Drosophila melanogaster: one gene and its partner. The protein of the gene in region 1 interacts with the protein of each later gene in a biochemical or structural test. Each region holds a gene or a part of one and is shown on either strand. Other genes may lie near its edges.

What was found.
Region 2: the proteins of Apc2 (region 1) and CtBP form a complex in vitro, tested with the Drosophila melanogaster proteins (one study listed by BioGRID).

The regions. Positions count from the first base shown.
Region 1 is NT_033777.3:24,162,410-24,169,064, forward strand, and holds Apc2 (adenomatous polyposis coli 2), read left to right. Parts: upstream 1-1,556; 5' UTR 1,557-1,764; coding exon 1,765-2,400; intron 2,401-2,463; coding exon 2,464-4,677; intron 4,678-4,874; coding exon 4,875-5,228; 3' UTR 5,229-5,528; coding exon of another isoform or gene 5,529-5,735; 3' UTR 5,736-5,855; downstream 5,856-6,655. Other genes in the region: TBC1d7 (TBC1 domain family member 7), read left to right, coding at 43-274, 331-417; mRpS24 (mitochondrial ribosomal protein S24), read right to left, coding at 462-751, 809-998, 1,059-1,076; CG5510 (uncharacterized protein), read right to left, coding at 5,529-5,735, 6,065-6,394, 6,448-6,645.
Region 2 is NT_033777.3:13,009,818-13,014,665, forward strand, and holds the start of CtBP (C-terminal binding protein), read left to right. Parts: upstream 1-1,831; 5' UTR 1,832-1,931; exon of another isoform or gene 1,932-2,355; intron 2,356-4,848. Other genes in the region: CG8031 (uncharacterized protein), read right to left, coding at 1,315-1,363; CG11656 (uncharacterized protein), read left to right, coding at 188-267, 347-1,142. UniProt on the Drosophila melanogaster protein: Corepressor targeting diverse transcription regulators. Hairy-interacting protein required for embryonic segmentation and hairy-mediated transcriptional repression.

The DNA of each region.
Region 1 (6,655 bases):
AGTCGGGTTATTTGACCAATTTTCTTCGATTACTCCTTATAGTCACCTGGAGCTTCTGGGCCTGTTTGATGGCAACTCAACGCTACTGGATAACTGGTATATAACCTGCTTTGCTGGAATAATCTGTACAACTCATTTGGTCAAGATATGGGACAAAGTCTGTGGAGGGTCCCGGAAGATTGTTGTTTTCCTGTTTGTAGAACTAGTTAAGGACATAAGGTCCTCGATACTAAAGCAAACATCTTTAGCAGACGTCAAAAGACTTATAGAAACGGTAAGTAAATAAGGAAACCATTTGCTAAGCCATAACTTATCCAAAATTTGCCTTAGGTAAAGGATCTTGACGGTGTTATTATCGTAAACAAGGCCATCAAATCACTACAAAACAACAGCAGCGAAGTCGAGTACACGCACTAAGTAAATCTACACTTTTATATTGGACATGTATATAGCAGAATGAACTAAATGTATTTGAAGACCACGTCCTTTTTATCGCCCACCGTTTGCAGTTCCAAGGTCACTGGACACTGCATCCAATAGGAGAGCAGCTCCTCCGTGTAACCAATAAGGAAGTACATTTTTCGCGGTGTAATCGCCTGCCGAATAAGGGCCGCGATCCTAATGGTGTTGTGCTGTCGCTTGATAATGACCTCGGAGCAGACGAGGGCATGCCATGTGCCGGTGACAAACTTGCGGATGAACACATCCTCTATGGCGGTCTGGGACGGACGCAGGGCATCCTTCATTGTTGCTAAGATAGAAGGTGGCCATCAAAATGCTTCCTTAATAAAATTTTCTCACAACTTACACGTGTTCCATGAGTTCCACGATTTGCGGTGGCCAATAAAATGCGGCGGATTGGCCATCTCGTAGGTAAGAGGCCTGTTTCGCTTTGTGGTTATGCGGTATCGCCCGGATTGCACGCGACAGCACACGGAGCTGGTGTGGAATCCTGACCGGCTGAGCTGCTGCACCTCGGTCGCCACCTGGGGCAACAGCTGCAATAGATTAGGTTATTTTAATATATAATTTGTCCTGTTTGTTGTTATTTAACACACCTTTTTCAAGAAGTTCATTATTTTGCGGCAGAAACAATTTTGCGTCCAGCAACAGCTGATTGACGTGACGTAACGGTTCGCTAGAGATGGACAAATTTATAGATAAGTATTCGATATTATTATTGTGTAGTGAAAATATTTTCTATAAAATAAAAAACAACATTGAAGGAAGTAGTTAAATAAAAACACAGAAAGATTAATTTTTAGTTGTGTAAATGCCCTTTTTAGTTCTTAAATGCAATACTTGGATCTCTATTGCATTGATTAAAATCGATTTTTATTTTGTTTTAAAGCGGGGCAGAGTTGTCAACAGTTGTCGGTGGGAAAATGTAATAATGTAATGTAATAAAATTATTGCACGCTTATTTAAAATATATAAATAAACAACATTTTGAGAGCTTCCTTAATAAATAGAGTTAACTTTGTATTAATCCCTTTATTCGAAAGAACTTTGACTGATCATTGAACTTGGGCAGAACTAGCTATAAATTAGCTTAATCGGTAGCACTGGAGCGCTGAGCCTGCGCGCTTGGAAAATGGCTTAAACGCAGGCCATCTCAAACAAAGATCGAGGATCTCAGATCAGAAGGAACTACCTGTTGAAGCGACCGTGCAACAGGACTCATCCAGAAGCAAAGCTGCAAAGGTTTATTCCCAGAATCCCTGGTATCCGAATGCACTAATAGGTGAGGATACATTCAAAGTAATGACGCTGAACGAGAGCGACGCTACTCGCCTGGAGCTGACGCGCAACTTCCTGGAACTGTCTCGAAATCCGGAAACATGCACCGCCCTGCGCAGCTCGGACTGTATCCAGCTTCTGGTGCAGATTCTGCACGCCAACGACGAAGGCCTCTCCACGGCGAAAAAGTACGCCAGCCAGGCGCTGCACAACATCGTCCACAATAATCCGGAGGAGAAGGAGCGCCAGCGGGAGGTGAAGATGCTGCGCCTGCTGGACCAGATCCTCGACTACTGTAACTTTCTGCACACCCAGTTGCAGAGCGGCGGTGAGGCTATCGCAGATGATGAAGATCGTCATCCGCTGGCGGCTATGAAGCTCCTGATGAAAGCCAGTTTCGACGAGGAGCACCGCCAGACTATGTGCGAACTGGGAGCCCTCAAGGCGATTCCCAATTTGGTCCACCTTGATCATGCGGTCCATGGACCGGCTGCCGGTAGGGAACAGTGCAACGCCCTCAGGAGCTACGGCCTCATGGCCCTCACGAATCTCACCTTCGGAGACGAGAACGTCCATAACAAATCGTATCTGTGCGGTCAGCGACAGTTCATGGAAGTGGTCATTGCTCAATTGAACACGGCTCCGGATGAACTGCTACAGGTGAGTTTAATCTTGGAGATTAAGAAAAAAAGATCGTAATTTAATTACCGTTGATCTCATCAGGTTCTTGCTGGTGTGCTTCGCAATCTTTCGTGGCGCGCGGACAAACACATGAAGACTATCTTTAACGAGCTGGGTACTGTGACCTCCTTGGCTCGAGCAGCCATGCAAAACAAGAACGAGAACACTCTCAAGGCCATACTTTCAGCCCTTTGGAATCTCTCAGCGCACTGCAGCACCAACAAGGCGGAGTTTTGTGCAGTAGACGGAGCACTGGCATTTTTGGTCGGAATGCTTAGCTACGAGGGTCCGAGTAAAACTCTTAAGATCATCGAAAATGCAGGCGGCATTCTTCGAAATGTATCGAGCCATATTGCGGTGTGTGAGCCGTACCGACAAATCCTAAGACGGTACAATTGCCTTGCCATTCTGTTGCAACAGTTGAAATCGGAGAGCCTAACCGTGGTAAGCAACTCCTGCGGAACTCTGTGGAATCTCTCGGCGCGCTGTCCCGAGGACCAGCAATACCTCATTGACCACAATGCCATCCCGCTCTTGCGGGCCCTAATCAGCTCCAAGAACTCCATGATTGCGGAGGGCAGTGCCTCGGCTTTGAAAAACCTAGTTAATTTCAGGGCCACTCAGGAGCTTATGCCCAATGGAGATGGTGGGTCACTGCCACTAGACAAGGAAGCTGGCCATGGAGGTACGCTGCCACGGAGATTCAGCTCACTGCGCCTAAGCTCAAATCCCACGGGATCGCTTAAGAAAGTGCGACCCTCAACAGTCAGCACAACTGGCTTTCTGAACAGAAAATGTGAGAGCCGAGAGTCCATTTACTCGGGCAAATCCGATTCCACTAAATACTCAACCAAGTCGGAGGGAGCGAAGAATCCCTTCGAAATTGTGACACCCACTGAAGAGCAGCCCATTGACTACTCCATGAAGTACATGGAGCACAAACCCAATAGCAGTAAGACCTTTGAGATCGACTTGGATCAGCCAACGGATTTCAGTGCTAGATATAAGGAGAGACGATCCGCTCAGACGGCACAGCCGGAGCTGAAGTCGGAGACCAATGAGATTAGAAGTAAGGAGTTGCAACTGACAAAGTCCTCCTCGGCCACGGAGCTGCGCAATAGTCCTGGCCTGGTGGCGGTTTCAGCAGCTAAGCAGAAAATTGCCACCGAAACGGAGACGGAAACGGCAGAGCGACCAATAAACTACTGTGAAGAAGGGACTCCCGGCAGCTTCAGTCGCTTCGACTCGCTCAACAGCCTCACAGAGAAACCGGAGAAATGTATGCCGCCAAAAACTCCAACGAAAACTGCGGTTCTCCCGGTGCACGTTGACGGAAATACGCCTCAAAACATCGATTCCGCACTAGAAACTCCATTAATGTTTTCGCGTCGCAGCTCTATGGACTCATTGGTTGGCGACGACGAAACGGTTGCCTGCGAGGACAATGGATCCGTGATCAGTGAATACAGCCGGATGCAGAGTGGTGTTATTTCCCCCTCAGAGCTGCCCGATTCACCCACCCAGAGTATGCCTCAATCTCCGAGAAGGGACAGAAAAGTGTCCACTCAAAATAACTTGGACACACCTGAACAGAAGCCCAGTACTGTGTTTGAGGACAAGTTGAACAGATTCCACGTGGAGCACACGCCTGCTGCCTTCTCCTGCGCCACCAGTCTAAGTAATCTGAGCATGATGGACGACTCTAATGCAAACGCTATTCGAGGACAGCGTGGAAATGACATCAACGGCAATGGGGATGCTCCTCGCAGCTATTGCACAGAGGACACTACTGCCGTGCTTTCCAAAGCGCCAAGCAATAGTGATCTGTCCATTTTGTCCATCCCGAATGATCTAAATGCGAATGAAGCGCAGCCAGTGCCTGCTCCGCGAGCTGATGTTACCGGAATGGACACTCGGATGCCGGCAGAAGATGCAATCTCTAAGATGCGCTGCGGTGGCAATGCATTGCCCAGTTATCTGCCAGTGTCGGATGAAATGAGCAAGTACTATGTCGAGGACAGTCCCTGCACGTTTTCGGTCATCTCGGGACTATCCCATCTCACTGTTGGCTCTGCTAAGGCTGGGCCTGTTCTGAAGCTGCCAATGAGGACTGCAGAAGAGGCTCAGGCACCCAAACTTCCTCCCAGACGTAGTGCCGTTCAAGGAGATGCGGAGCCACGCTTACCGCCGAAGAAAAGCGACTCACTGAGCTCATTGTCCATGGACTCGGATGACGACTGTAATCTTCTAAGTCAGGTGAGAAAAGGATACTTCATTCAAAACACTTGATATATTTCACCATATAAACATTTTGTGAGAGACTCACTCAAAAATAAGTGTCTTTGTAGATTTAGCAATCGGAATGTTGATATTTCACAAAAGTTAAATTTAAAATGCAGTCAGAAAATTCTCGCTAAAATCAGAAATATTAAAGTTGTTCCCTCTTTTTATAGGCCATTGCTGCGGGAAGTTGTCGACCTCAGCCCAGCGGTGCCAGTACCAGCTCCAGCCTGGCGAACGCTAGTACCAGCACTCTATGCAGGGAAAATGGGCAGTCAAAGAAGCAGGTGGAGCATGGCGATAAGCCGAACTACAGCTCAGATGACTCGCTAGACGACGACGACGATGATGCACGGTCCAAGTCGCTATTTGAGCAGTGCATTCTGAGCGGCATGCATAAGTCCAACGACGCCTTGGAGTCGGAGGGTGAGCCGCCGGGGCAGCGCCAGGAGATCAGTGCCCGGGATCGATTTGTCAGTAACCAGGTGCGCCAGATTGAGTCCATGTTGGCTGGGCGTCAGCACTAGAAGCGGATGGTTGGTTAATTGAGAAGCGCATGCATTTGTTTAGTGGCTTTTAATCTTGTCTACGCAATAATATTCTCACGGTCTCAATTTTCCTATAGTTCAGATTAAAAATTTGCACTTAAATTTAACTCTCCAACACGTGTAATATTATGTTTACCCTCTCACTAAACAATTAAGGAAACTAAAAAGGGTGATAAGAAATGGGATACAGTCGCGGTATAAATATAAATAAAAGTTGCGATCAACTGAGGTCCGGGTAACTCCTAACATGATGCTACTGTGATGAACTAGCTAGAGAGCTCAGTAGAAACGTTTTCGCGCGTTGCGATCCTTGAAGTAGGAGATGGCGAAGATGGCCACTGCAGCCGCCACGACAACCACGAAGAGAAGGATGAAGAAGATCTTGGCGTTGGACATTCCCGGCTTGGGATCTTCTTTGTGCTCGCGCGGGGGCTCGAATGTCTTGGCATTCGGTATGATATTGGAGCGCCGGATAATCTCATCGTGCTGCGAACAAGAAAGAAAGTAAAAAGATGGTTATTGCAACAAGAAAGTAAAACTGGTTTTCAGTAATATGATATAAATATTATAACACACGGCTTATAAAGATAAACATGATTAGGCATCAAACAATGTGTTTAAAGCCAGCTGCTTAATTATTACAAGTTGCAGCAATTAAAAACAAGTTCACTCTTTTTTCTTTATACGTATACGCAGTTATTGAAACTTAAGTCCGCTTTTGGGTTCCTTGCACTCCTTATCGCGTTAGCCAAATAGCAGACAGCTGAGTAATGCTTACTTCGCTTCCGAAGTTTGGCAAACAAAAGTGAACTTACATTTACGTTCAAGTCCAGGTCATAGAACTTGAAACTGTGAATATCGTGATTGTCGGACAGATCACCCGTCGTCGCAGACATGCCGAAGTGGTAGCCCGTGGGTAGCTCAACGTTGGCCACTACAAAGCAGTTCTTCCATTCGTTGCGGTTCTCCAGATCTGTGGAAACCGACAGAATGTCGTTTTCGTATCGAATGCTAACCAGCGTCTCGTACTCCACATTGCGGAAACGAACTTCGCAGCCGGCCAGCTGAGTGTGCGTTCCATCGCGATCGTGGTCGTAGCTCCAGCTGCCATTGTTCACCATGGCGCTGAGATATGGATGTTGGTGCTACAAATATAATGTTAATACATTTACATTCAATGCCTTGCGTAATGACATACGTTGTGTGGACCATTGTGATTGCTATAGGTGTCCAGAATGATGGCCAGTCCGGAGAAGTGATCCTTGCTGCCAAAGACCGGCCCGGTTTGCATGCGCTCCTTTGTGTACCAAATGGCAAATCCGTCGCCGAACAGTTCAGTTCCCTTGCCGTGCACCTTAAAGCCAACGTGCACTTCCCAATTGCGAGTCATCACGGGCTTTGGATTA
Region 2 (4,848 bases), about 11 Mb from region 1:
AACCATAATTCCCTGCTCAGGAATTGGTTTCAGTTTCGAAATCAACGAAAATAGTTGGCCAGTCGTTGCCTAGCAGCAAACAAACAAATATTTCCTGGTTTATAAGACTTTCACTAAATCGAGACTTATCACAGCAGCGATATAAAGTTATTAAATATTGATTTAAATTTTAGTTGAACATTCCGCGATGGAAACTGATAAGGAAAAACAAAGCGATGAGCTCATGAATCGCATTCGGAACGAGCTTACAGCTATATTATCTCAAGAGTAAGTTATCAAGTTACCCAATATATATATATATATATAAAAGAAGAAAAAAATCAATCCATTTATAATCCTACAACAGGGCTGCTGATGATTCCGACAAGGAGGCGTCACAGGAACTGCTCCTGAGTCCCAATCCGCTGCCCATTTTCGGGCCCATAAGGAAAACAAGGAAAGCAAAATCGAGGAGTTCCAAGAAGAACAATAGTAAGGCCTCCTCCTCGTCCGCTGGCAGTACAAAGAGTTCGTCGTCGGGTACCAGATCATCTGAAGATCGTTTAACTGGAGGTGGAGCCCAGGAGAAGCCATCGGATCCGGTCTCCACATCCTCGAGCTATTCGCTAAGATCAGGATATGACGCTCCGCCCGTGGAGGCCAGTGCCCGTGCCGACTTCCTTGAATCGCAAGCGGCCAAAAGCATCGACGAAGATGTCCGGAAGATGCAGCTGGAGCTCAAGCAGAGCTACGAACTCTTCCAGGGCATTGGCGAGAAATTGGAGTCGGTTAGCTTCACGGGCTTGAAGGACCGCATACGGGACCTGCACCTAAACGAATCCAACAACGAGTTGGGCAAAGCGACGACTGCAGAGCTTCAGATGATGTTCGACCAGCGTTTCCTGCAAAATCGCCTGGACAAGCTATCCACGGACGCCACGCAGGGATTCCGTCGGCATCCCGGCGAATTCGGCGACATACCCGAGCTGAGCACCTTCTTCCAGGCATGCACTCAGTTGGAACGCGGACTGGATGCACTGCGTCAGCAGCGGCGGCGCAACAGCGAGCTGGAGAAGCGTCTGTGCTGGGCCACCGAAATCGCATACGATCGCATGGACGAGATTCGCAATGCGGTTGGCTCGGATCCGGAAAAGAACTTCTGAATTGGTGACCTGTAGTTACATTTTTGGTTCACCCTAAGGTTCATTACCCGCACACAAACACACACACAGGCAAACACGCACAGGTGCAATACATATGCGTTTATCCCACACCCATAGGCGATGCAATAATTGATTGTGTTATCTTCTGGGCCGCAGCTGGGTTGTTACTCACCCGAGTCCGTGTACCAGCTGCCTGCATGGGTTGCTCTTCTGGCCGACATTTTGTGCGAGATCCCTAATCGGTCTGTTTAGTTAGTAAGAGCTATTAACTGGCCGTTACTTGTAGAAAAAACGAGTTCTTTGTTATTGGTACAGCAGTGTGACCGTCGTCTTGTTTTTGAAATAAACACGTTCTCTGGATTCGCTGATCAGCGGTCACACTTCTTCAGGGCTGCATTAAGTACTTAAATATCGTTTTTTTTTTGGTATAATCATATATACCATTAATACTTTTTTATTATTCTAAATAATAAATCACACAAATAAAATACAATACATAAGGTAACGTAATTTTATTTAAGTGTTGTTTTTTATTAATTTCCATAAATGAAATCGCATAACATATACAACTGAAACTCACGGAAGTCGAAAGTCGGAATTCTGCAATACCAACATTTCAAACTATACCATAATTCTTGCAGTTTGCCTGCGCGCACCGAGGTATTTTCGAACGACCCGTGTGCGGTCACACTGTTCGCATAGCGTCATTGCTGTACTAAAACCTAAAAATCCGCCGTGTTCGTATTCCGCCATTTTGAAAGCTGCGAGTGGAATTTGGACGCGTTGCTGGTAAATTAATTGTGGGAAAACTGCCCAAAAAGTGCATAAAATTTGTGAAAAGTGGTCGGCAACGGTGCATGAGACCCGCCGCCAAGTGTTTGTCCCCGAAAATTGTGTGTGGCCGCGTTTTTGGCACGTGAATTTCTTGCCCAATTGTGAACTCGCAAAAAAAGAAAAAGAAAAGAGAGAAGAAAACCGACGCCGCCGTCGCCGCCGCCACAAAGGAATAGGCGAATAAGCGAGAGAAAAAAAGGCGAAAACGAGAGCTGAAAATCAAATTGTGCGCCGCTGATTGCGTTTCAGCTATTTAATAATACCACAATCGAAAATCCGCGGCAGCGGCGATTTTTCCACGGATTACTACACCATATATTTCCCATTTGCCTTTCCGTTTGCAACGAGTGTGCGCCTGTGCCTGTGTGCGTGCGTGTGTGTGAGTGTGCGATAAACGTGTACAAGAAAAATTTAAACGTGCAGAATTCTGATGAATTTTAAAGCGGAACTGCTATTGCCTGTATAGGTGATGCGGGTGTGCGTGTGTGGGTACGCACACACACATGACCAAGTATTGTTGCGGTTTAATGCAAAAGTCGAGTGAGTGCGTGTGTGAGTGAGTGAGAGAGAGAGAGAGAGAGCAATGCCTGCCATATTCTATGCAAAACATAAATAAAATTGTGCAATAATTTCCCCGCACACGCACACAGCCACAGATACATACACTCTCTTTGTAATTTATATTTTTTTCCGCCCGCCTAGTGACAATACACACGCAAGGTTCACTGCGCAACGTCCCCCTTTTCTCAAGCACCCCCCTTTTGCCCACGCCACTGCAACATGCTGTCTCATCGTTGTTGTTTTGCCGCCGCCACATTTGGTGCGACAGAGAGAGAAAGAGCGAGCTAGCGCGAGTGCAAGAGAAAGGGTGGGAGGGAGAGGCCAAAAGCAACGAGTTTGAAAACCAACTAAAGCCTCATGTTGACACATTTCAACCGGGAGTTTTCGTTCTTTCGCTCGGATTAAAAGCCTTTAAAGGGTGAAAGTGCTGCTTATCGTTTCTTCTTCGCGAACTAAAGCTTTAAAAGTATAAATAGCTTTTATTTCCTGCGCCCGCATATTGATTGCAAATTACAAGCGCACACACTTACTCAACAACCGTTGCGATTGTTTGTTTGTGTGTGTTTATGCCGATTTGAATACACAACCAAGTGAAAAAGTTTGATCAACTTACGAATGTCCATTCAAATTGATGCTTGTTTCTAGTTTTCTTACAATTTTTGCGCTTGTCGTGTTTTTGTCATAGCTTCTTCTATCTCTATCGCTCTCTCTCTTCTCTCTTGTTCGTTCGCCCTTTCACTGTTCGACGTGCCTGTACCCATCACACACATACAAACGTATACGTCATACACACACACACACGCACACATGAAGAGGCAGACAGACAAGCAACTCTGGGCTCCCCCCTCCCTAAACCTCTCCCCTCCCAGCCACATACTGCCGCACTTGCAACGGGAATGTTGTTGGTATTGCTCGCAGTGCTCAAAACTCCGAAGAGGATTACAAATGGTGTTTTTGTTTTTGCCCAAAAACGGAAATACAGACAAACTTCTGCCACATAAAGAGTTCAAATTATAGCGACTGTTAGTTGTTTAGTCATTTGTTGTATTCCCCGCAACTTTTTGCGCACTTTTGGGGTATCTAGACTGATTACAAACCCTTAAAAGCAGCAGGCACAATTGAAATTATTGATTGCCTTAAAGTTAAAGTTAATTGCGGTTATGAAATTTTTGGCTAATTGTTCGTCATTGGGCAAAAATGAAATGCTGAGGAATTTGCTTTATAAAAACACTTAAATTTATAGTTATTAGCCACTGAATTTGTATTGCAGTCGTTAAGAATTCTTCCTACCCAATGTAGTTTTCGCTATAGAATAAATAGAAATATGGAAATATGTGGCAGAGAGAGCCGCTTTTCCCGTTTCCACTTCAATATTTGCATTGCCATGGAATTTTCTATATATATAGTCCATCGATAACTGTACATGTTGCTGAATTTGTTGTTACTAGTTTTTTTGGCGCAACAACGTTTTCCGCTTCTTGTCACTGCCCTTTTTTGGCAAATAATAAATTTGATTGTGTATGGGCTGCCCACTCCCACTAGCTAACGGTTATTTATTGTCAATGCCAGGCGATGCCGCCCACTGCCACGCCTCGTACGACCCCCCCCCCCAATCCGTTTGATGCTCTGTGTTTTTGCGCAATGTTTGTTGTTGTGTGTTTGCCGCCGACTGCGCGCGTGAAAAAATGCACACCTGCCCAAAGAATTTCACACTTGGTGGTGCACGGGGCGCAAAACAAAGCGAAAGCAGCCACCAAAATAGCAGGCAAACGTTTAAATTTAAACACAAAAGTCCGAGGAACTAAAATTCGACCAGAAACACAATGGCAGCCATGTGTGCCTCATATTCTTGTATTTTTTTTCTGCGCTCTATCTCTATCGATCTGAAAGGCAAATACAACGCAATTCGGTTGATGGTACAGGCTCTAATACCCTTAAAGCTAAATTGTCCAAGTTATAAATTTGTTGAAAATGAATGATAGTTTACAAATTCGGATGTCTTTCATCTATTCAGCGGTGGAAAGATGTATTTTGGCCAGCTAATCGTTGCATGTTTGATGGCAAACCTTTCGCCATATCTGCTATACTCCTGCGCAAGCACTTTTCAAATGAAAACAGAAAACACACACTTTCAGATGGCTCAGCCAAATTCGTCCAAAACAACAGATGCAGCGATATGGCAACAATAATAAATAGAAATAGCCAAGCAGCCGCAAAACGCAGAATCAGCAATTCGTAAGCGTGCGAGGCAATAATATATACATATATATATATATATAAATTGTATTTCATTTGATTTTTTCCCACTTCT